Linked DNA regions of Tamandua tetradactyla. The protein of the gene in region 3 binds, or shares a complex with, the protein of the main gene of each other region. Links are inferred from orthologs where the notes say so. Each region holds a gene or a part of one and is shown on either strand. Other genes may lie near its edges.

Region 1 (7,485 bases), on a different chromosome or scaffold from region 3:
GGAGGCCAGATGTCTTAAATATTTTTTTAAAAAATTGCACTTTGCTTCGGCTACAGTAGACCATATTTCTTTTAATATACAATAAGGTGTCTTTCACATTTCAACAAAGGAGGGAGAATGATCTTTCCTCCATATCTCTTCAAAACTCCCTGACAGGATCATTTTCCAAGAAAGCAGAGTTCTGTCTTGAAATGGTTTCCTGTTGACATTTCAAAACTGAGGCTAATAAAGAGAGACTTTTTATTAACGGCTCCGTTTTTAATAATGTTTATTTGGCCTGTTTTTAAAACTGTTCTGGAAATAGGGTTGGATTGTTGATCACAATGCCATTCCCAGTTCGAGTTATGTTGTTAGAGCTGGCTCAGCCTGTATTGCATTGACATGTGGCACTTTTCTTACTCCATTTCGCCTTCGCCCCAAACCACATCCTCATTCTGCACCTGAAAGTCGGTTAACTGAACACGTTTGTAAAGTAAGGGCTCGTCTGAGGCACGATACATGGTTTCTACACCATAATCTCTGTCTTTGCTATGTTATTTCAGACATCAAAATAACACAGACACTAATCATCCATGCAGAAAACCTCCATAGACTTCAGGATGAGGAGGACAGAAACAGGAATTCCACCCCCTTACATTCGAGGGCAGAAGGAGATGGTTCTGGAGGGAGAATAAATGAGAGACACGCTTCAAGACTAGAAGAAAAGTATTCTCCAGACTTGGAGCATGTGCACATGATACCTGACCCTGGGTCACAGTTGCTATAAGCACCTGAAAAGACAAGCCTGGCTCCTCTCTTTTCTCTGTAATGTCTGAAGGATCCAGAAAAGTACCCAGAAGCTGCCAAGGTGCAAAATAAACATGAATTGGCCTCTTCCTGAACCTGCCTGCTGCCCAGAGGAAGGACTGTTTATTTCCAGATCTCATGGCTACTTCAGCCACTCTGCTCCTGATGACAGGCAATTGACCAAAAATGTTGAGGAAGACAAGAATGGAGAGAGGCGTCTAAAGAAAGAGTCTGCAGGCCCCTTAATCCTCCAGGGGAAAGCCCTGAAGTTTCTTCTGTTTTCATTCTAGACAGTCAGGTGTCCAGAGATCCAGATGGCAGTGAGATGACAAGGCTCCAGAATGGCACAGGACTGGAGGGAGGGTAGGGGCCACCTGACTTGTCATATTCACTTCTCCAAATTTATTTCTCCAACCACTCATGACTCTAGCAAGATGCAAGGAAGTATACTCAAGAGGTAGGCAACCCCAACATTGCCCAATAAATAATTAGAATTAAAAATTAAGCAGAGTACCAAAAAAAAAATCTGCTTTAAAAAATAAGCCATGCCAGAAACCAGGGTTGATTCCCATGGCCTGCCCATGCCAAAAAAATTTTTTTTGCTTTAAAAATTAAGCGGACTGATAAATAAATGGGAACTCCTCAAAATTAAATACTTTTGCGCATCAGAGAACTTCATCAAGAAAATAAAAAGACAGCCTACACAATGGGAAACAATATTTGGAAACGATATATCAGATAAAGGTCTAGTATCCAGAATTTATAAAGAGATTGTTCAACTCAACAACAAAAAGACAGCCAATCCAATTACAAAATGGGAAAAAGATTTCAACAGACACTTCTCAGAAGCGGAAATACAAATGGCCAAAAGGTGCATGAAGAGATGCTCAACTTCCCTGACCATTAGAGAAATGCAAATCAAAACCACAATGAGATATCATCTCACACCCACCAGAATGGCCATTATCAATAAAACAGAAAACCACAAGTGCTGGAGAGAATGTAGAGAAAAAGGCACACTTATCCATTGTTGGTGGGAATGGCAAATGGTGCAACGGCTGTGGAAGGCAGTTTGGCGGTTCCTCAAAAAGCTGAATATAGAATTGCCATATGACCCAGCAATACCATTGCTAGGTATCTACTCAGAGGACTTAAGGGCAAAGACACAAACGGACACTTGCACACCAATGTTTATAGCAGCATTATGTACAATTGCAAAGAGATGGAAACAGCCAAAATGTCCATCAACAGACAAGTGGCTAAACAAACTGTGGTATATACATACGATGGAATATTATGCAGCTGTAAGACAGAATAAAGTTATGAAGTATTTAACAACATGGAAGAACCTTGAGGACATTATGCTGAGATTAGCCAAAAACAAAAGGATAAATACTGTATGGTCTCACTGATATGAACTGATATTGGTGAATAAACTTGGAATATTTTGTTGGTAACAGAGACCATCAGGAGATAGAAATAGGGTAAGATATTGGGTAAGTGGAGCTGAAGGGATACAGATTGTGCAACAGGACTGAATATAAAAACTCAGAAATGGACAGCACAATACTACCTAACTGTAATACAATTATGTTAAAACACTGAATGAAGCTGAATGTGAGAATGATAGAGGGAGGAGGGCTGGGGGCATAAATGAAATCAGAAAGAAAGACGATAAAGATTGAGATGGTATAATCTCGGAATGCCTAGAGTGTATAATGATAGTGACTAAATGTACAAATTTTGAAAATGTTTTTGCATAAGGAAGAACAAAGGATGCTGAAAATAGATGGTAATTAATATTTTAAAATTTCAACTTATGTGTGAGACTAAAGAAAAAAAATGATTATTTGGTACAAAATTTATATTTTGACTAGTGCATTTCCTAATATAACTTATGTAGATAGCTTGCTTGAACACCATAAGTACTTGGAACCTTGGGTAGGACATGGGATTTTGTTGGTTTGTCCAGAGTGATGCCCCGATGAATCCCAGAGTGATTTGAACAGTGAGTGGAAAAGTATTTGCAAAGTCCCCTTTGGGGAATAGTGAGAACGGGGAGAAATTCAACTTCCCCAAGTAGAATTCTTGATATTCTCACAAGCAGTGTGGACAACCAAAGCTATAGGCTAAGCCCCCAGTCTTGGGGTTTGTTCATATGAAACTTAACCCCACAAAGGATAGGTCAAGCCTACTTAAAATTAGGCCTAGAAGTCACCCCCAAGAGAGCCTCTTTTGTTGCTCAGATGTGGCCCCTCTCTTCAGCCAACACAACAATGAAACCCACCACCCTCCCCCTGTCTACGTGGGACATGACTCCCAGGGGTGTGGACCTTCCTGGCAACTTGGGACAGAAATCCTACAATGAGCTGAGACTCAGCATCAAGGGATTGAGAAAACCTTCTCGACAAAAAGGGGGAAGAGTGAAATGAGACAAAGTGGCAATGGCTGAGAGATTCCAAACAGAGTCCAGAGGTTATCCTGGAGGTTATTCTTATGCATTAAGTAGATATCACCTTGTTATTCAAGATGTAATAGAGAGGCTGGAGGGAACTGCCTGAAAATGTAGAGCTGTGTTCCAGTAGCCATGTTTCTTGAGGATGACTGAATAATGATATAGCTTTCCCAATGTGACTGTGTGATTGTGAAAACCTTGTGTCTGATGCTTCTTTTATCTACTTTGTCAACAGATGAGTAGAACATATGGAATAAAAATAAATAATAGGGGGAACAAATGTTAAAATAAATTTGGTTTGAAATGCTAGTGATCAGTGAAAGGGAGGGGTAAGGGGTATGGTATGTATAAATTTTTTTTCTGTTTTCATTTTATTTCTTTTCTGAATAGATGCAAATGTTCCAAGAAATGATTATGATACTGAATATGCAACTATGTGCTGACATTGTGAATTACTGATTATATGTAGAACAAAATGATCAAAATAGGAATGTTTGCATTTGCTTTGTGTTTTTTGGTATTTAAAAAAATAAAATTAAAAAATTTTTTTAAAAGTTAAGCAGACTGGAAACAAGATCAGATAAGAACATTAGAGGGAGCTCCAATCAACACTGTGCTGCAGGGAGCTTGGCAAAATTTTTTCTCAGAACCTCATTGAAAATCAACCACGTAAAAAGTGAGATTAATACACCAAGAGAGAAGCAACCCTTGTAAATAATCCCGTTAAACCCAAGCATTTTGATTTACAAAAATCAAAGCTTTAAAGACCAGCAACTTGAAGCTGAAACGAAGTTGAATGGCTTGCCCAGCTTTAGGAAACCAGAGGAAGGACTAGAACTCGCATCTCTTGTCTCTCCGGCCAGTCCCATTTTCTCCACACCCTGGGCAACATGGGTCCATCTCCCCTCTGTGTCTCATTTCTTTGAAATGGGAAACTCTCCTACCTGCTTCTTGCATCTCCCTTATACACCAGAAAAATGCTTTTTACTGAAGAGGACCTTGAGTTTTAAGCCTAATAATGTCATTTTCCCGATGGACCCTAGAGCTGTAAATTGCCCAAAATGGCTATCAGGAATCCTTTTTCTCCACATCAGCACAACACTATTATTTCTGATGTGTAAAGCTTGTAATTTGTATGTCTCCAAATTGCAGACTTCCTACATGGAAGTGAATCATAGCAAATTGGCTCCAAAGTCCTTTCTCCTCAAACCACACTTTGAATTTGGGAATAAGGAGAGGACTGACCCTCTGCAATCTTAGTGTTTTAAGCCGAGTGAATTAAAATAGCCCATTCTACCTTCCTGCGAGCTCTGTGTTTCCCAGTTGCCTGGACAACAGGCTGTCTCTAAAAACCCAACCTTCCAGTTCTCAGTCCTGCCCCCGTCGGAAATCTGCCACCCTGGATTGGCTCATGGAACGCTTCCTCCTCTTTGGGTTCCTGCTGGTTGGACTTTTTTTCTGCCCTTCCTCAAAAGGGTCACTCCGCAGGGAGACGCAACAGAGGCAAGAGAGGATTCTAAAGGTAGGAAGAGGTGGAGTGAGGGAGATGGGGGAGAAGCAGATACTGAGATTCATTTTTCTCTAAAAGAGGGTTGAGAGGGATGACTTCTGTGTAAAGACCCAAATGGATAGAAAAAAACAGCTCCATGTAAGAGTCCATAGAGACCAAGAACTGAAGCTTCTGGAAAGTGCAAGAAACAGAGTTGGAGACTAGAATTCCCACTTTCCTGGTGTTACCGGACAAAGGCAGTGAATTCTTTTCCCCAGTGAGTTCAATAACCAATTCCTGAGACACCGGGGTTGCAAAGACAGAAAATGTTTATTGCTAGGCAGGAAGCAGACCAGATGGCCTATCAGCCCAAAATGTGTCTCCCTGAACTGCAGTAATTCTGAAAGTTTTATAGTATCATAAGATGGGCAGATTTTAGGATAAGGAGCACAGTGGCCCCACATGATGTAATTAGAGGTGATCTGATTATTGAGCATGCACAGATTGATTACATACTTAGTCACAGAAGGTATGAAAGAAAATGGTGACTTTAATATGCTGATTGGTATTATAATTAGGTATCAATGACTTGTAGGTTAAAGTCTAACCTACTGCACATGTCAGGCAGGCCCATTTTTTATTAGCTCCACCTCCAGTAATCAAGGTAACTTTGGATTTTGATTGGGTTAGTTCTGGGCTGACCCAAGACTCTTCATTAATAAACATTAGGGGCTGTCTTTAGTGATAACAAGACTGGAGACTCTAGAGTCGAAAAACAGGAAAAATGGGTACACGTGACGGTTAGTCACAAATTTTTACAATCACAAAGGACACAAGATAAAGGCTACACATCATTATCAGAGGTCAAGGCAGCTGGATTCCAGTTCAGAGATTTCAGGTATTTCCCTCTGTCTACTCCAGTGTACTAGAAAGCAAAAAGGAATTTCTATATAATGATTCGGCAACCATAATCATTCCTTAAGTCCTAATTTTTCAGTTATACCAGGACTCTTGGTTCAGCCTAAAAGTCAGAAAAGCATCCCCGTGTCCAGACGTGAATACCAGTCTTCTCCTTCTTCTGGATAGCAAGAAGATGCCACCTAAGACCAAAGAAAAAGGGCTGAAAGCTGGGGCACAGAATAAGAAAAAGAATTCAGGTGCTGGTGAGTTGGGGGGGTGCCCCCCACTTCTCCATGCTCTGGCACAGAGACCAGCACCGGTCCTCCAGAGACTATTTGGTCCTCTGTATGATGAGATGGAGCTTTCTTGACCCTCCCCCCTCATATCTTCATATCCAGGTTCCATGGAGGTGGGAAATTGGGGAAAATCAGTCATTTGACCCCTCCCTTGAGTCCCTTCTAGCTCAGGTTCAGCTCTGAGCCTTCCGTATATATTCATCACATATATTTTGAATACCCACTCTATGCTAGGCAGTGAGGATGCAGTGGTAACCTCAGACCTCAGGAAGAAAGGAAGTCCAGAGATTGGGTGAGGAGGGGAGGAGAGTCGCGGGAGGAGGGTACTGAGAGCAAGACCAAGGGCTTGCAACCCTCTCCTCTGTCAACTTGCTAGGGCAGATGTGGAAGCCGAGTCCAAGCACAGGCTGGAAGTGCTGGAGAAGGAGTTGCTCCGAGACCAGTTGGGTAAGAAGGGCAGGAGCTCCAAGAGGCTACAGGGGTGGGGCAATGAGGTATTTCTGTTTCCACCACCTCCTCTCATCCTCAGGGATTGGAGGGTTGGAGCTATGGTTGGGGGTTAAGCTAACCTCTAACCATTCCCTAATGGGAAAACACTGTTATGAGTTGAGATCGTGGTGGGGAGGGGGTGGGCATTGAGGTTTGATGAGAGAACTAGGGAGCTATTTTTACAGCCAGAATGTGAGAAATTTTTGCTCCTTAATAGTGAAAAGTCTGTGAGATTCTGAGAGGAGGGGGTGGGTGGCACCCAGGTGAGAATGGGAGGCTAGATGCTCTACCTCCAAGTTTCTGAAAGTGGGCAGGGCCAGTCAAAAACACGGAGCTGGCTCAGTGGGGCCCCCAGTCAGATCTGAGGGCTGCTCTGGGACCACCCACAGCCCTGCGGAGGGACGAGGCCCGCCAAGCCAAAGCCTCTGAAGACCAGCTGAAGCAAAGGTTGCAAGGGTTGGAGGCTGAACTGGAGAGAGCCCGAAGTGAAGGGAAGGCCGTATATGCAGGTATGTGGTGGGTTTAGCGGGTGGGCAGGAGGCAGGGCTCTGGAAGAGAACAACCAAGAAGAGATACATTTGCTGTGCCCAGTCTCAGGACAAATGAGGCAGATCCTAAAAAACCCAAAGAAGTCCTCGGGGATCCTAGGCAGGGATCTTCCAGGATCCCTGATGCCATGTGCTTGATGCTTTGCAGGTTATGCAATGTAGCAATAGCCATTACCCCATTGATTCCATGGGAGTGAATGGGACAGCTTAGAATCCCTATCCTGGGCTGGAATGGGGAGAGGGGTTTGGTTTTCTCTCCCTCCCCCGGGTTTTCAGGGACTCCCAACTTCTCAGAATCTCTCCAGAGGAATCAAGAAGGCTTTTATGCTCCCATCCCACTGGACCAAGCATAAATCCCCTGGGCCCTCCTCACCTACAATTTAATCTCCTTTCTCCATTCTTCCATCCCCACTGAGTCGCTGCCCCCACCCCCACCCCGTCCCTCCCATAGAGATGACTCGCCAGTACCGGGCCCTGCAGGAGAAGATGGAGAACCGCAGCAGGTGGCTGGAGGAGGAAGTG
Region 2 (7,547 bases), on a different chromosome or scaffold from region 3:
ACAAAATGGACAGATGGCTTAAAATAATTCCTACAAAGAAATTATAGTTGAGACAATAACACCTGCAGACACACACACAAACAAGTGCAAGCAAGAGGAAAGAGGGTGCCTGGCGATGCTACTCTTGTTGGGACTGTGGCCAGAACCAATGAAGAACTGATCACTCAGACCGAGGCAATATGATTTTAAATAAACCATTCTTTTTCCACACTGTCTTTTTCCTATAATGTTTAACAGAAAATAAAACAAAGGAGAACATGACCTGTGTATGTGCTATGATGACAACACTGTAAAAATCAGGTGCACAAAAGGATAAGATTGAAAGAGAATGCAGAAACTAAAAATACTATTAATCAGAAAAACATTTCCTTCCGAATTCCTACCTGTTTATAGAAACGTTCTCCCATGTGACTATATTACTTTTTAAAATTCTAGGTTTTATATCTGAGAACTGAGAGGCTGCTAGGGGCCCTGGAGAGGGCGAGAGGCAGGACAGAAGACGGCAGAAGAGCAGAGACCAGACAGAGGGGAGGTGGACTGCGGCTGCGTGGTGGCAGGAGGTCTGGGGAGCCTGGGGTGTCGATCACAACCTGGGATCAGGGGCAGCATGCAGCCCCCACTCACCTGCTCCTTGCTCATCTCTTCTGCAGCGAGCCCATCAACAATTGGGGTGCCCCTGGCTTTGCCCTTCTTGCCTTTCTTTTTGGGCGCCTTTGGTTGAAAAAGAGATGACCAAGTGAGTAGCGCAGTCTATCAGCTTCCCTTCCTGCTGCCTCAGAGTCCCTCCCAGGCTCCCTGGCTCATGCCCCAGAAGAGCCCACCTGGAGCACATCCACCTGCACTGCGGGTCCACCTGAACTCACACATACACCCCTTTGTGCACATCTGGGAAATCAGGAAGGAGACGCCTTCCTTTCCAGAAAAGACCACTTTATCCCTGAAGGGAAGGGAGCGGCAACCCATCCCAAACCCACGCACTCCTTGGAATATGCCAAAGACTTCTTTGGGGTGGACACAAAGTTTACGTGGCTCAAAAAGTAAGAACCCCAATACCAAACTGTGAAACACCACCAGGCTTGTTGCATTGTGTGGCAGCCACCACTGAGAAGCAAAAAAAACACCAAAAGGCACAGACAGAAATCTGCAGCAATGACCAGTGACAGCAATTCGAGGCTTCCTTTCTTCCAAACATAAAGCCCCTTCAAAGAACCCTGGTTTAGAGAGCTTGAGGAATGAGCCCCCAGGTGGATGGCAAAGTGTGTGGTTCCAACAACTCTAACCAGGTGAGAAAGACACTTCCACCCTAAAAGTCCCCTTGAACTGAGGCCACCACCCGTAACCCTCTGCTCAACTCTGCAGCTCACGTTGTTGTGTGTCTGTCTCTGTAACTTTGTTATGAATATACAAAAATTTTAAGTAGAAATTTTAGGAAATGTGGAGAAGAAAAGAAAACTCACTTATATCCTCACAAACTACTGATCATGTAGAAGTATTCTGCTTGCCTCATTCCAGTATGCTTTCGGAAGATACAACCACGGAAATCCGGCCCCAGTTGCAATGCCCTCCTATAGGCCCTCCTTTGGAGGATCCATTCCAGGAAGTCACCCGACGTGCGGACCTAAGGGCCAGCGCTGCTCACAGCCGGCTGTGGGGTCCTGGTGGCGCTCAGGCCAGCTGATACCCACCCAACAGCTCCTCCCGCCCAGCTGCCCGGTTCTAAACTCAACTCCTACAGCACAACGTGGGGTGGGGTGGGGGTGGGCGTGGGAGTGGGTGGAGGTGGGTTGGGGAGGGGGTGGGAGAGGATTGGGGGAGGGGGTGGGAGAGGGCTGGGGTGGGAGTGGTTGGGTTGGGGTGGGAGTCGGGTGGGGGTGGGGGTAGGTGCCGCTGTGGGCCGCATCACTCCCGGAGCTCCTCAGTGAGGAGGACCCCGGTCCCCTGGCAGCGAAGGGGCCCGGAAAGCCGGGTCCTGGGACGCGGCGGACCCCGCGCTCTTCCACAGGGATCTCGAGAGGACCAAGTTCTCGGCCCGGGATCCCCAGCCCGCCCCGCGACCCCCTCACCAGCACGCCCCAGGCCCCGGGTCCCCAGCACGCCCCAGGCCCCGGGTCCCCAGCACGCCCCCCGACCCCCTCACCAGCACGCCCCAGGCCCCGGCTCCCCAGCACGCCCCCCGACCCCCTCACCAGCACGCCCCAGGCCCCGGGTCCCCAGCACGCCCCAGGCCCCGGGTCCCCAGCACGCCCCAGGCCCCGGGTCCCCAGCCCGCCCCCCGACCCCCTCACCAGCACGCCCCAGGCCCCGGCTCCCCAGCACGCCCCAGGCCCCGGCTCCCCAGCACGCCCCCCGACCCCCTCACCAGCACGCCCCAGGCCCCGGATCCCCAGCACGCCCCAGGCCCCGGGTCCCCAGCACGCCCCCCGACCCCCTCACCAGCACGCCCCAGGCCCCGGCTCCCCAGCACGCCCCAGGCCCCGGGTCCCCAGCACGCCCCCCGACCCCCTCACCAGCACGCCCCAGGCCCCGGCTCCCCAGCACGCCCCAGGCCCCGGGTCCCCAGCACGCCCCCCGACCCCCTCACCAGCACGCCCCAGGCCCCGGGTCCCCAGCCCGCCCCAGGCCCCGGCTCCCCAGCACGCCCCAGGCCCCGGGTCCCCAGCACGCCCCCCGACCCCCTCACCAGCACGCCCCAGGCCCCGGGTCCCCAGCCCGCCCCCCGACCCCCTCACCAGCACGCCCCAGGCCCCGGGTCCCCAGCCCGCCCCCCGACCCCCTCATCAGCAAGCCCCAGGCCTCGGGTCCCCAGCACGCCCCCCGACCCCCTCATCAGCAAGCCCCAGGCCCCGGATCCCCAGCACGACCCCCCGACCCTCTCACCAGCCCGCCCCCACCCCCGCCCCCCTCACCATGCCGCCGGCCCACCAGCCACTCCAGCGCCGCAGATTCGAGCCGGGGCCAAACGTCTCCAGGCAACCGCCGGGCGCTTCCCGTGAGAACCCTCGGGGATTCTCGCGAGAGCCGCTCGACGCGGCCGCCGTGACAACAGCGGAAGCGCGTCCCTAGCAACACGCGCCTGGGAGATGCCCTAGGTTGCCCGAGCCCGCGAGGTTTGGGCAGCATCCTCGCCCCCGATGCCCCCAAATGCGATACGTTGCAGGATGGAGCGAGGGATTCCGGGGCCTCAGCTGAGGTGCGCGAGTCTGTGACGGGGGCCTGGCCCACACCCTGGCCGTGACCCTGATCGTGACCCCATACTCTGGCCAGTCTGACCCGGACCCTTTCTGCTCAGCGGTCCTCTTCCCTGGCTAGAACCTACATTCTGAAAACTAAAGAAACTAAACAGCCCCCTGCCCACTTTACTTTCCCCGTAATTTAATTCACGCATTTTATCCCCTCCCAACTAGGAAGCGAGTGTCATGAAGTGTGTGTGGGTGGAGGGGGGGCAGGTCCTGCACTTCTGAGCCTCCAGCACCTAGAACAATCCCTGGCAGGTGTCAGTAAAGATGTTCTGATCAAATGAATGAGTGACAGGTGAGTTGCAACCCGAGGCTCTGCAGCATTGTCCAAATTAGATTCGAATTTGGATGGGAGACTATTCACTCTGGAGAGTCTCCTGCTCCAAGATAACTGATTTCCACAAACCCTCAGGGAAAAAAATAAAACAAAAATAGGAAAGAAAAAAAAAGTTTCAACTTAGCTCCAAAGCTTTGAAATCAGGAAGTCTCGTGGCAGCTGCCCCTATAGCTGTGATATGCTCACCTCGAAGAGTAAACCACTCTCCACAGCCCCTCTGTGCTCAGAGATGGAGAGAAACTAGAAACTTCTGCAGAGGTTTCCAGACAGGCACTGCACAGAGAGAGAGAGTGAGAGAAAGAATTTGTCATTTTTCTTTTCTAACCTCTTGCTTTGAAAAATGCTAATCATTTTTTTTTATTTCCAAAGTGAATTTCCCATTCCATAGACATTACCTCAATGCTACCATCTGTCATGAACAGGGGCCCATTTTATGGACCGTTATTTCCAAGCTCTCCACTTAGGTATCTTCCTGAATAGCGTTGTGTGGCCGGCCTTGTAGCCCCATCTGCTTTATGTCCTGGAGGACAGCAGAGGAGTGAAGGTGTGCAGTGAAGGAGGGCTCAGGTGGGCTCAGCACCTGGGCTTGCTCAGGCAGCATCCCACCCCACTCTGCCCGGGAGCCCCTGCCCTGAGCAGGACGGGCTTCCTGTTTGTCTCTGCCTCCCAGGCCTCAAGCCCCGCCCTGGGGAGAAGCCAGCTTTGATAGAGTTGTGGTTTTTGTGCAACAGCTCTCAAGGCCTTTGTGAGGTCTGGTGTGAGGAGTGGGGGTGCTGGGGCTGGGAGCCAGGAGCCTGCTCCCCCAAAGAGGGACTTCCCAGAGGGGCTGGCAGGCAAGAGGGTCCATGGCAGGGCAGTTATGCTCTCTAACCTCTCAGAGCAGGGACAAGGCTATGCCAGGGCCCCGTGCTCGCTGGCCCTTTGCTCTTTTGCCTGGCTGGGGTCCTGAGGACGTCGCCGTGGTTCCAGTGATTCCTTTCAGCAAGGGCAGGGGCTGGCTTGGGAGAGAAACCCTCCAGCTGCCCTGGCTCCAGACAAGGCCCTGAGCAAACTCTGCTTTTCATGCTGGATATGTGTGCAGCCTTTCCCTCACGTGTGTGGCTTAAGATGGTTGGATTCAGTGGAGCTGGGTAACTGAGGAACAGATAAACAACTTCGGAGTTTCCTGCAAAAGTCCAGAGCAAATGTTAACCCTTCAGCTCTCCTAAGGCCTGCACGAGGGCACGCATGTCTGCAGACGCAAGGCTTAACTTTCTCTTAGAGAAAAACACTGAAGAACTTACAATTGAAATGATAAGACAAGTGCAGGTTAGCTTCAAGCCAGCCCAGCAGGGGGAAGGTGACTGCGGTGTCAGAAAGAGAAGCTCCCAGCGCTGCTCTCTACTCCAGGGAATGTTTTCAGAGGCTCCTAATGACAGGTTAAAAATAAATAAACTTAAACCTAAGCTTGCCCCTTGCTCCTGAGGCCCACTCTCAGACAGGAACAATTGTTGAACAAAGTGGCTCAGCACAGCATTTACTCTGCACATGAATCTGCAGTTTAGCCAGACCTGGGATGTTCAGAGGCAGGGACAGCAGGGCTGAGCCCTTCCCCTCACCCAGCCTCAGGGGACACGCAGCATCAGCCCCTGCCAGCCAGAGGAGCAGAGGTGGGGTTTCTGGATGCGAGTGGAAGATTCTAGAAGACAGCCCACCTTCTTGCTTCAGGCACGTACTGATGGGCCCAACTTCCCGACAACCCTGTTGGGGCGGGGGTGTGGGGGGTGCCCTTGTCCCAGCTTTCCAGGTGAGAAACGAGGCGCTGGCGGGCTCAGCAGAGACGGGTCTGCCCTTGGCTCTGGTCCCGGAGGCTCCCTGCAGGTCACGGCATCCCTTAGAAGGGTGCGAACAGCTGCGGGCTCCTTACCCGGGCTAAAGCCACCAAACCCTGGGCCTGGCCCTCGACGTTGAGGTGTGATGTGCCCCTCACTGGGGGCTCAGCTCCGTTGCATATCCCAGGGAGCTGCGGGTGCCTCCTTTCTGTCTGAAAGTGGCGCCAGGGGCAGGCACCCGCACTGGGTGGGAAGGTCAAATCCAGAGCTGGGGTGGGGGCGCTGGACAGGCGAGGAAGTGGTGTGTTATTTCCACCTTGGAGCCATGAACGTGGCGTCCACTAGGACCCCGGGGAAAAGCGGGGGGCCTCAGCCTGCGTCTGTCCAGCCCTGAGCCTGACTCTGGGCGAGCGTGTTGCAGCATTGGGCCATCATCTTCTAAAGAAACAGTGAAAATAAGTGTGTCTCTGGGGCTTGGGGACAGGAGAGGCAGGTCACAGGAAATCCCACAGGCTTGGTGCAAAATGTTCCGGAAGGGCCCCAGCGGGAGAAGCGGCTGAGCATAGCACTCCAGGGGTGAGGGAGAGCTGTCGCAGGGAGGGAGGAATGGGCTGCTTGGTCCCGGGCCATCTCCAAGGAACGGACGTGCTGCTGCTGCTGGGTTGTTTGTTTTTTAGGAAATAGATTTCTTTTTAAGAGAAGTTGTAGGTTTACAGAAAAAGTATGCAGAAAATGCAGAGTTCCCATATAGGGCCACACACACACAGCTTTCCCTATTAACACTTGGCCCAAATGCAGTTCCTTTGTTACAACTAGATTAAACAGTATTATAATTATACTATTAACTGTTGTGCATCGTTTACATTAGGGCGCATCAAGTTAATTTTTATTTGGTGTGAGGGCAAGGTCCTCCTTCATTCTTCTGCAGATGGAGGGCACAGGCTGTTCTTCCTCCACTGAGTAGCTGTGGCTCCCTTGTCAAAAACCAATTGGCCTGAGACTGAGATGTGAAGGTGGATTTCTGGACCCTTGGTTCCATTTCCATGGGTCTACATAGCTATTCTTATGCCAGTTCCATGCTGCCATGATCCGTGTAGCTTTGTAGTAAGTTTTAAAATCAGGAAGTGTGCGTGTTCCAGCTTCATTCTTCTCTTTTCAAGATGGTGATGGCCACTTGGGGCCCTTACCCTTCCAAGGGAATTTGACAATTGGCTTTCGTGTTTCTGCTATTTTGATTGGGATTGCACTGAATCTATAAACTGCTTTGGGTAGAATTGACATCTTAACAATATTTCATCTTCCAATCCATGAACACAGAATATCCTTCTATTTATTTAGTCTGATTTCTTCCAAGAATGTTTTGTGATTTTCCGTGTGTGAGTCTGTTACATCCTTGATCAAATTTATTCCTGATTGATTCTTCTAGTTGCTGTTGTAAATGCAATTGTTTTCTTTGTTTCCTCTACAGATTATTTATTGTTTATGGTATAGAAACACTACTGAGTTTTGCATGTGGATTTTGTACCCCACCACTTTTCTGAATTTATTAGCTCTAGTAGCCTTGTTGTGATTTTTTTAAGGATGTTCCTTATATAGGATCATGTCATCTGCAATAGTGAAAGTTTTATTTTTTCCTTACAAATTTGTATGCTGTTTATTTATTTTTCTCTTGCCTTGTTGTTCTGGCTAGAACTTCCAGGAGTGTTGAGTACAGGGGTGACAGGGGGTGTCCTTGCCTTGAGTATAATGTTTGCTACAGGTTTTTACATAAACCCCCTATTCCTAGTTTTCATCAAGATGCGTGGTGGATTTTGTCTAACGCCTCTTCTGTGTCAATTAAGGTGATTTTTTTCCTTCATTCTATTAATATGGTGTTGCACTAAATTACTTTCTCATGTGAACCTCCTTTGCACACCTGGGATAAGCACCCCTTGATTATGCTGCATAATTCCTTTAATGGGCTGTTGTGTTCAGTTTGTCACAGTATTGTTGAATTTTGCTTCTATACTCACATGGGATGTTGGTCTGTAATTCTCTTGTGGCATATTTTTCTGGCATTGGTAAAATTAGGGTGCTGGTGACCTCAGAGCAGGACCTGGCAGTGATCTTCAGTCTTTCGGAAGAGTTTGGGCAGGAGTGGTGCCAATTCTTCTTGAATGTTTG
Region 3 (7,358 bases):
GTGCAGGAGCCCTGAATGGTGGGGAGGTAAGCTTTGGTAATGGGGGAAACAAAGTCCAGCCTTCAGGTTCTGCCTGGGTGGGCAGGTGGGGAACAGCAGACCCGCATGGGGGCACAGCGGGGCCTGGTCACTCTTCCTGGCCCTCAAGGCGATTCCAGGGCCTGCATGCCACTGCCCTTCGAGGGGGGTGGCCTGGGGCTGAGCTGACCCTGGCACCCGTGGACAGACGTGGCTCGGGCTGCCAAGCCCAGGGATCAGTGTCTGTGGGTGTGGGTAGAGGGCCCTGGGCCTGGGTGTCCGCCTCCTCGGCTGCTGCAACTGTGTGACTCTGTGTCTGTGAAATGGTGCCACGTGCCTGCCTGTAGGGCTGCCCTGGCTTTGCAGCACCGGGTGGCCGAGAGGGGCCTGCAGACTGAGGGGTGTGCCCATGGGCTGCCCTGTGAGCGGGAAGCAGATGACAGGAGGGAAGGAACGTGGGCTTCAGAGTCAGTGGCTGGGGCTGGAAGGCAATGCCCCCCACCTTCCTCGCTGTGGCCTCGGGCTCCACAGTGGGGTGCAGGGAGGATGGCAAGGCCTCCCATGGAAAGCCCAGAGGACATGCCTCACATATAGTAAGCGCTCAGGATGCAGTAGCAGCTGAGACTACTCATTCTGGTTTGACCTGCCCGGTGGGGCAAGGCTGGCTCTGAATCTGGGGGACACAGGCAGAGCCCGTGGCTGTCCCTAGTGGGCAGGAGCAGAAGGTCCCCAAACCAATGGCCCCTGGCTCCCGGCGAGCCCTGGGCCAGTGAGGCTGGCGGTGGGCATCGCTGTGGCGGGAGGTCCGTTTTGAGGAGCCTTACCCAGCCAGACCAGGCGCGTGAGGCTCTCCAGACCCTCGATCTTCTCGATGACGTTGTTGTCCAGCTGCAGCTTCCTCAGGCTCTCGAACGGCCACAGGTTGTCTATCCGCAGGATGTCTGGAACCACGTGGGCAGAGCCTCGGTGGGTGCCAGCCGCGGCCGGTGGCAGGGCCGGGGCCCTGCACGAACATGCCCGAGGACTGAGACTGCTGTGCTAGCTGTTCAGGGTCCCCGGTACAGGAAGGCCGTGGCCCCTGTGAGTGTGCTGGGGATGCAGGAGGACCCGATGGGGGCCTGGTTCAGCTTGGGGCACAGGATAGAGACGAGGGGTGACAGACAGAATCGAGACTGCAGGATGACCCGGGCCTGTGTGCGCTGCTGGTGGGTGGGTCCGAGCACAGCTTAGTTGTGGCACTGAAATGTTCAAGGTCTGTGCCCTTTGACCCCACAGACAAGGAATCTGCAGAGATGCACTTGTACACACGACAAACAAAGATACCTACAGGGACATTAGGGACAGAAATATACGGGAAAACCCCAAGTGTCCATATATGCATGGGGGATGGGATAAATGCCCCAAGCAGCAGAGGGGGACAGAGTTTTGACACGGTTTAAGCGCCTGGACCCAGCCATGTGGGAAGACCACCTGCCCCAGCCACATCAGCCAATCCATTTCCTTTTCTAAGCCAGTTAGGGCTTTGTGTCTGTCACTTCTGCAGCCAAAAGAGTTCTGAAAACCCCTAAGTATAAATAAGCAAATACTAACCGCATATGATTCCAGAGGCCTAAATTTGTCTCCCAGTTTTTTCTAGAAGCCTCATTCCCTGTTTTTTCTGTATTTGCTTTTTTATTATAATTTCTACAACTTATAAAACTAGAATATGCTCCTTAAAAGAAAACAGCACACTAATGAAAGGGGTAAAAACTACTCTGATAGCCACACATTCTGGGCCTCAGTTTCCTTATTCATTTGGAGGGGCAGGGTCTGCCTCTGGGTCTCCCTGGGGGAGGCCGGGTCCCACACCCCTTACCCTCTGCCCAGCCTCTGAAGCTGTTCCCCCAGTGTCAGACCCTCCTCTTCCTCCCGAGCCCCCAACTCCCAGCCCTGGCTGCCCGGGACCTCCACGCCCAGGATGCCAATGTGTACTGGTGTGGTGGACACAGCACCAGGCCTGTCGGGTCCGGCTGCTCTTTTCCTCTGTTCTTATTGGGAATCAGGACTGTTTTGGAGATTTAAATGTTAACGACCCTCTGCTAATTGCACTTTATAGCCACTTCTGGGAAATTTCTCATTTTAAAAAACATGTACGCGCGGGCCGCGGTGGCTCAGCGGGCAAAGTGCTTGCCTGCTATGCCGGAGGACCTCGGTTCGATTCCCGGCCCCAGCCCATGTAACGAAAACGGAGAAACAAAATACAATAAAACAAGAAAATGTTTAAAAAGATGTTTCCCTTCCTTCTTTCTATCCTTCCTTCCTTCTCTCTGTCTTTCCTTTAAAAAAAAAAAAAAAAAAAAAAAACATGTACGCTGTTCCTGCACCTTCAGACCCCAGCCGGCCCCTGTGCTGCCATGGGCCCCAGGCCCCCCAGGGATACGTACTCTGGAAGTCCAGCTGCAGGGACAGGACATCCTTGAAGAGGATGCCCTCTTGCTTGGCCAGCTGCCCGGCCTCCTCCCGGGGGCCCTGCTCGCTCACAGCCAGCTTGAGCAGGTCGTCGTCCAGCACCCTTGGCTCCATGGAGTTGCCGAGCCGGCTCATCCTGCCTGGCGCTTCCCTGAAAAGCACCACAATCTGCTCCTTCTTTGCGGATGGACGGGGTGGGGCTGGGGTCTCCCTGCAGGTACCTCTCCGAAGCCCCCTTGGCCCTGAGCACTGGGGGATAGTGGGTACCACCCAGGCTGCCCAAGACCTTTCCTGGTAGCCGTCTGGGCCCATCCCCCTCGAGCCCAGCTATGACCCTCACCGGGGCCGCAGGGCCCACACTGCTGTCCTTGGCCCTGTCTCTCTTGGGTCTCTGTTCTCTGCCCCCACCCTGGTCTGCCCTTCCTAGGACCCACACTGACCAGTTTCCCTCGGCCTTACCAGCCGGCAGCCCCTTTCTCTGAGAGCCTTGCCCTCTTCTCGAGGCAGCCACACATGTACGCCTTCCCCCACCACACTTGCTGCCCAGGGAGTAGGCGGAGCCTGACCCCAGCTGGCCATTACTCTCCCCCTGAGAAATGTGTCCGTGGGGCTGTGGTATGAGCATGTGCGTCAGAGCTGGCTGCTTGAGCTGGGCAGGGAACTGGGGGCAGCCAGGCACACGATCCAGCAGAGAAAGCAAGAGGGGAACGTGGCAGACGTACAGAGAAGCAGAGATGAGCGCCTATGTGATCCAGGAAACAAGCCGGAGCAGCACGGACAGGCATACTGAAATGGGCCGAGGCTGCCGGCTTCCTGCCCGCCTTTTTGTCCCCAATTCCAGGACCCCATGGGTGACCCAGCTGGGAACTGGCTCTGGGCTGGACTTCCCGCATTCAGCCTTTTTTTCTGTAAGTGGCTTTCTGTGGCTACAGTCCAAAGGGCTTTGGCTGAGATGTCCCTACAAAGGAGGGGAACTGCCCTGGTGGATTTGGTCACACTGCAGGGCAGCTCCCCAGACAACTGTCTCCGGCTGGACAGAGCCAATAGCCCTGGGAAGCCGGGGCACCCCAACTTCATTCTCAACCTCACCATCCCCTCGGCAGAAAGGTCCTGAAGGGCTGGCCTTGCAGGAAGGCACATTCTCTTGCCAGTCTCCTAGAAACACCCAGATTCTGCCTCCTGAGCCCTCTGGAAACTCAGTTCTCCCCCCTACCTTCCACCTGTTTCTCCCCTCCTGGCTTTCACCTCTTTCCTTTGCCTGCATACCTCCCCCACATCGGGGCCTCTGGGGCTTCAGGACCTTCATGTCCTACCTGCCCTGCTGGTCCCTGGTCCTGGGAGGCCCCGGCCCCCTGGCTTTTGTTCCACTGGGCACTGCTGGAGAGAATCCTGACATTGGGTGATGATGTCCACTGAAGACCCGGTGGGCCTGGCCTCAGGGGCGCCTACCGTCTGCCTGTTCTCTCACCTCCTCCCCACCACACCAGGGAATGCAATTTGGGCATGCTATGTGCCCCCCCAGTTCTGGATGGGGTGGGGTGGCATTTACCTTTACCCCTGGGCCTTTACCCTCCTACAGCCTCCAATCCTCCCCCAGGAAGAGGTGCAGCCCTCCTCCCCTTCCCTGCATGGGCCTTCATCCTCCAAGACCTTGTCCCTTTCCTATCCCGCTCTCCAGTTTCTCCATACTGGCTGCTCCTCCTCCTCGGGCTTGATTGATTCAATCCCCATAGACATTTCCAGTCCTTGCCTCTCTCTATCTCCCCACTTCTCTGCAATGCTTCTCTTTAAGGTTTTATGTTACTTACTATCAATTTGCCTTGGGGGAGATTTTAATGTGCTGCATTCAGCAGATGGTATCTGCAACATGGTTGTGCTTTTTTCAGAGAAAGATACCACACTTTGAGAAAGGGTTCTGCTTTCTGATTTCAAAACCTTGCTGTTATCACCCACTTGGTCAAGGCCGGACACCTGTGACCGGGCACCTGGCTCTCAGTCACGCTTGGCAGTCACGGTACACTAAGGAACGGCTGCTGCAGACGCAAGTGCTGAGATCACCCAGGCAGGTCCTGGGGTCCCGACTGCGCACCCTTTGGGATCTCACTCCACCTGTCCAACCCTTCCCTCTCCCATCTGTAAAAGGCAGGTATGGCCTCCCTCCCGAGCCAGCTTAAGAGGATTAACAGCAGAACACACACGCATAGCTGCTGGATATTGTTCATTTCCACACACACTTACTGAGTACCTACTATGTGCTGTAAGGGAAACAGAGAGTTCTCCTCACCTCTTTTGCAGAGGTGAATCAAATAATCCTACAAGCATTTCATCACAAAGCATGCCAAGATCATAGGTATAGGGAACCATTAGAGCACATGTTAGCGCCCCCGAGCAGAGGAGACAGGGCTGAGAGTTGAAGGAGGAGTAGGAAAGAAGGAAGAGGGAACTGCATGGTGACAGCCCTGTGGGGGAAAACAGGACACGTTCCACTTTGGCTGAAGTGATGTGAGTTCGGGGGGGCCTGAAGGGGTTTTATTCTTATCCTAGGCTTATGAAGGACAATGACACAATCATTTTTAATTTTAAAATATGCAGTCCTGAGAATGGCAAGAGCAGGGAGGCAAGAAATGACGAGGGTTGATGGTAAGATGTAGATGTGAGAGCTCTCTAGGAACTTAATTTATATGTACGTCTAATCACCCTGGGTCTCCAGATAAGAAAACTGAAACTAGTTAGAAAGGGTTAAGGAACCATGCCCAAGCCTCAATGGCAGAGGCCAGGTAATAAGACTCGAGAGCTCCTTTACTGAATTCAGACTCATCGAGGGGACTGTCGTTGCCACAGTGCAGTGTTTCTCCCAATTGCTCTGGACTAAGGGCAGGGCCCAGACACTCCTTCCTCAAGGGGACTTTTTCAGCAATTGACCAACCAACCTGGGTTCCTGCGGTCTTGCTTGATGACACAGCTGTCACTGAAGACCAGGGCTGGAAGGCTGGGAAGGTGGTGGAGAGTTTTACACTCTGTCAATGGAGAGGCTTCCTCCCAAGGGACAGATCCAGAAGGGCCCCGGGAAACAACAACCTGGGATCAGCTGGATCTGAAAAATATCATCCCCACTGGCCACAAACTAACAAGAAGCAGGTCGACCAGCCACTTAGTTCTGTGTCTCAAGTTACCATTATCTAAAACATCAGCTCTGGAGGCCCCTGTCCCCTTAATTCTGGAGTCTCAGTGCCCTTATTTCCCAGATAGGGAAACCGAGGCCCCAGGAGGGGAAGGAACTTGTCCAGTGAGCGACGGACAGAGGCCCACATGGAACCTGGCTGTCCATCTCCCCAGCCAGAGCACGTCCCAAGCTCTGAAGAAGAATACGAAGAAGAAAATAAATAAATTAATACGAGTTAAGCTGACGGATATGATGCTAAATTCTGGATTTTATCAGTGAACTGGGGCTTTTCCTTTTAGGAAAGGGGTCAGAGCCGGAGACTGGGGGTATGGAACACTTGACCCCTAAAAATCCCTTCTGGGCCTGTTCCCTGAGGAAATACTCCTTTAGCATTTACTCATTTCACAGCCGAGAAGGGCCGGGCGGACGCCTCAAGGCAAAACGTCCCAGGACAGAGGAAAGCGGAGGCGAGTCCTCCGTCGCCTGGGCGCCCGGCTCTTACCTTCGCAGCGCGGCCCGCAGGCCTGGGTCAGCACAGCACCGCGTCGCCCGGTTGCTAGGGGAACCAAAGGCAGCCACTTGGTTGCTAAAGGGAAGTCAGAAGGTGGACTTCCTGGGGGGGGGGGAGTTGATGGACCACGTGATCAGCTTCTGGCGGGGAAAGACGCTTAACACCAATCAGCCTCAGAGAAAACAAAAGTTTCTCCAATGAGAACTTCCTTTGGGCGGGGTTCTTCGTAGCACCACCTTTTCTCCGCCCCTTACGTGTGATTGACTCTTCTCTTGCCCAGTAACAATCAGGAATCTTTAGATGGACCAATAGCTAGATGAATCAAAACGCACAGACTCCCTTTTGGAGGCGGGCAAGGGGAGGTGCCGCTACGCCTGACGGAGACGCCTGACGGAGACCCAGCTCGCCCCGGGCCCAGTCGGACGCTGCGGGGTAGGTGGAGCTTCGCGAAGGCCAATCGGAGGAGCGCTATGCAAGGAACTGCCCAATAGGGCCGCAACAGCGGGGCGGGGTCAAGGGCCCGGTGCTCGGCGTTCCCGAGGGTGGGGTGTGGGCAAGCGTCAGTCAGGTCGGGAGCGCGGCGGGGGACAGCGGAGACCGCGGCGACAGGACGCGGGTCCGGGCCGCTGCCGTGTAGTCCACCCAAGATGGAGTTCCTGCTGGGGAACCCGTTCAGCACCCCCGTGGGACAGTGCCTCGGTAAGGCCGCGCGTGGGGCGCGCGACGGGGCTGGGGGCGGCGCCTGCTGACAGGCGCTGGTGAGGGCCGCGGCCTTCCGCCAGGCCCCGAGGCCACCCCGCGGGCGAGCGGGTCCCGGGGCCACCCCACCGGCGGGTCTTTGCAGGAGGCTCTTGGCGCCTCACGGTGGAGCCGGGCCTCCTCACCGGCGCCTGTGTCACCCGTGGGTGCCAGTGCCACCCTGCCAGGCGGCACCCCTGAGAGATGCCGGGCACGTCCCTCCCCCGCCAGGGCCCAGCTCCTCCTGCCTCTCCCGGAGGTGGTGCCAACGCCGTGTACTTACCCCTCCCCCGCTGGGAGAAGCCTCGGCGGGCACCGCTGCCAGCCCGATAGCCTCGCTGCTGCTGCCCGCAGGACCCAGTCCCCGCAGCCCCCTGTGGGATGTCACCGCAGTAACCCTCCTCTCCGCCCGTCTCTCTCTTCCTTGTCTCCCCTTTCCAGTGCCGGCAGCCCTCGGACTGGGCACCCTCCCAGAGAATG

Evidence for each region.
Region 1: DRC3 (region 3) and DRC12 share a complex: the UniProt entries of both Homo sapiens proteins name them as parts of the nexin-dynein regulatory complex. The link is inferred for Tamandua tetradactyla from reciprocal best matches to the Homo sapiens genes DRC3 and DRC12.
Region 2: DRC3 (region 3) and DRC4 share a complex: the UniProt entries of both Homo sapiens proteins name them as parts of the nexin-dynein regulatory complex. The link is inferred for Tamandua tetradactyla from reciprocal best matches to the Homo sapiens genes DRC3 and DRC4.

The regions. Positions count from the first base shown.
Region 1 is NC_135334.1:21,541,352-21,548,836, forward strand, and holds the start of DRC12 (dynein regulatory complex protein 12), read left to right. Parts: upstream 1-4,472; 5' UTR 4,473-4,652; coding exon 4,653-4,763; intron 4,764-5,727; coding exon 5,728-5,893; intron 5,894-6,307; coding exon 6,308-6,373; intron 6,374-6,804; coding exon 6,805-6,924; intron 6,925-7,414; coding exon 7,415-7,485. UniProt on the Homo sapiens protein: Component of the nexin-dynein regulatory complex (N-DRC), a key regulator of ciliary/flagellar motility which maintains the alignment and integrity of the distal axoneme and regulates microtubule sliding in motile axonemes.
Region 2 is NC_135342.1:84,095,918-84,103,464, reverse strand, and holds the start of DRC4 (dynein regulatory complex subunit 4), read right to left. Parts: upstream 3,014-7,547; 5' UTR 2,910-3,013; coding exon 2,907-2,909; intron 1,585-2,906; exon of another isoform or gene 1,458-1,584; intron 712-1,457; coding exon 625-711; intron 1-624. UniProt on the Homo sapiens protein: Component of the nexin-dynein regulatory complex (N-DRC), a key regulator of ciliary/flagellar motility which maintains the alignment and integrity of the distal axoneme and regulates microtubule sliding in motile axonemes.
Region 3 is NC_135332.1:1,603,062-1,610,419, reverse strand, and holds the start of DRC3 (dynein regulatory complex subunit 3), read right to left. Parts: upstream 3,001-7,358; 5' UTR 2,982-3,000; coding exon 2,926-2,981; intron 2,618-2,925; coding exon 2,442-2,617; intron 960-2,441; coding exon 843-959; intron 1-842. Other genes in the region: TOM1L2 (TOM1-like protein 2), read left to right, coding at 6,788-6,839, 7,320-7,358. UniProt on the Homo sapiens protein: Component of the nexin-dynein regulatory complex (N-DRC) a key regulator of ciliary/flagellar motility which maintains the alignment and integrity of the distal axoneme and regulates microtubule sliding in motile axonemes.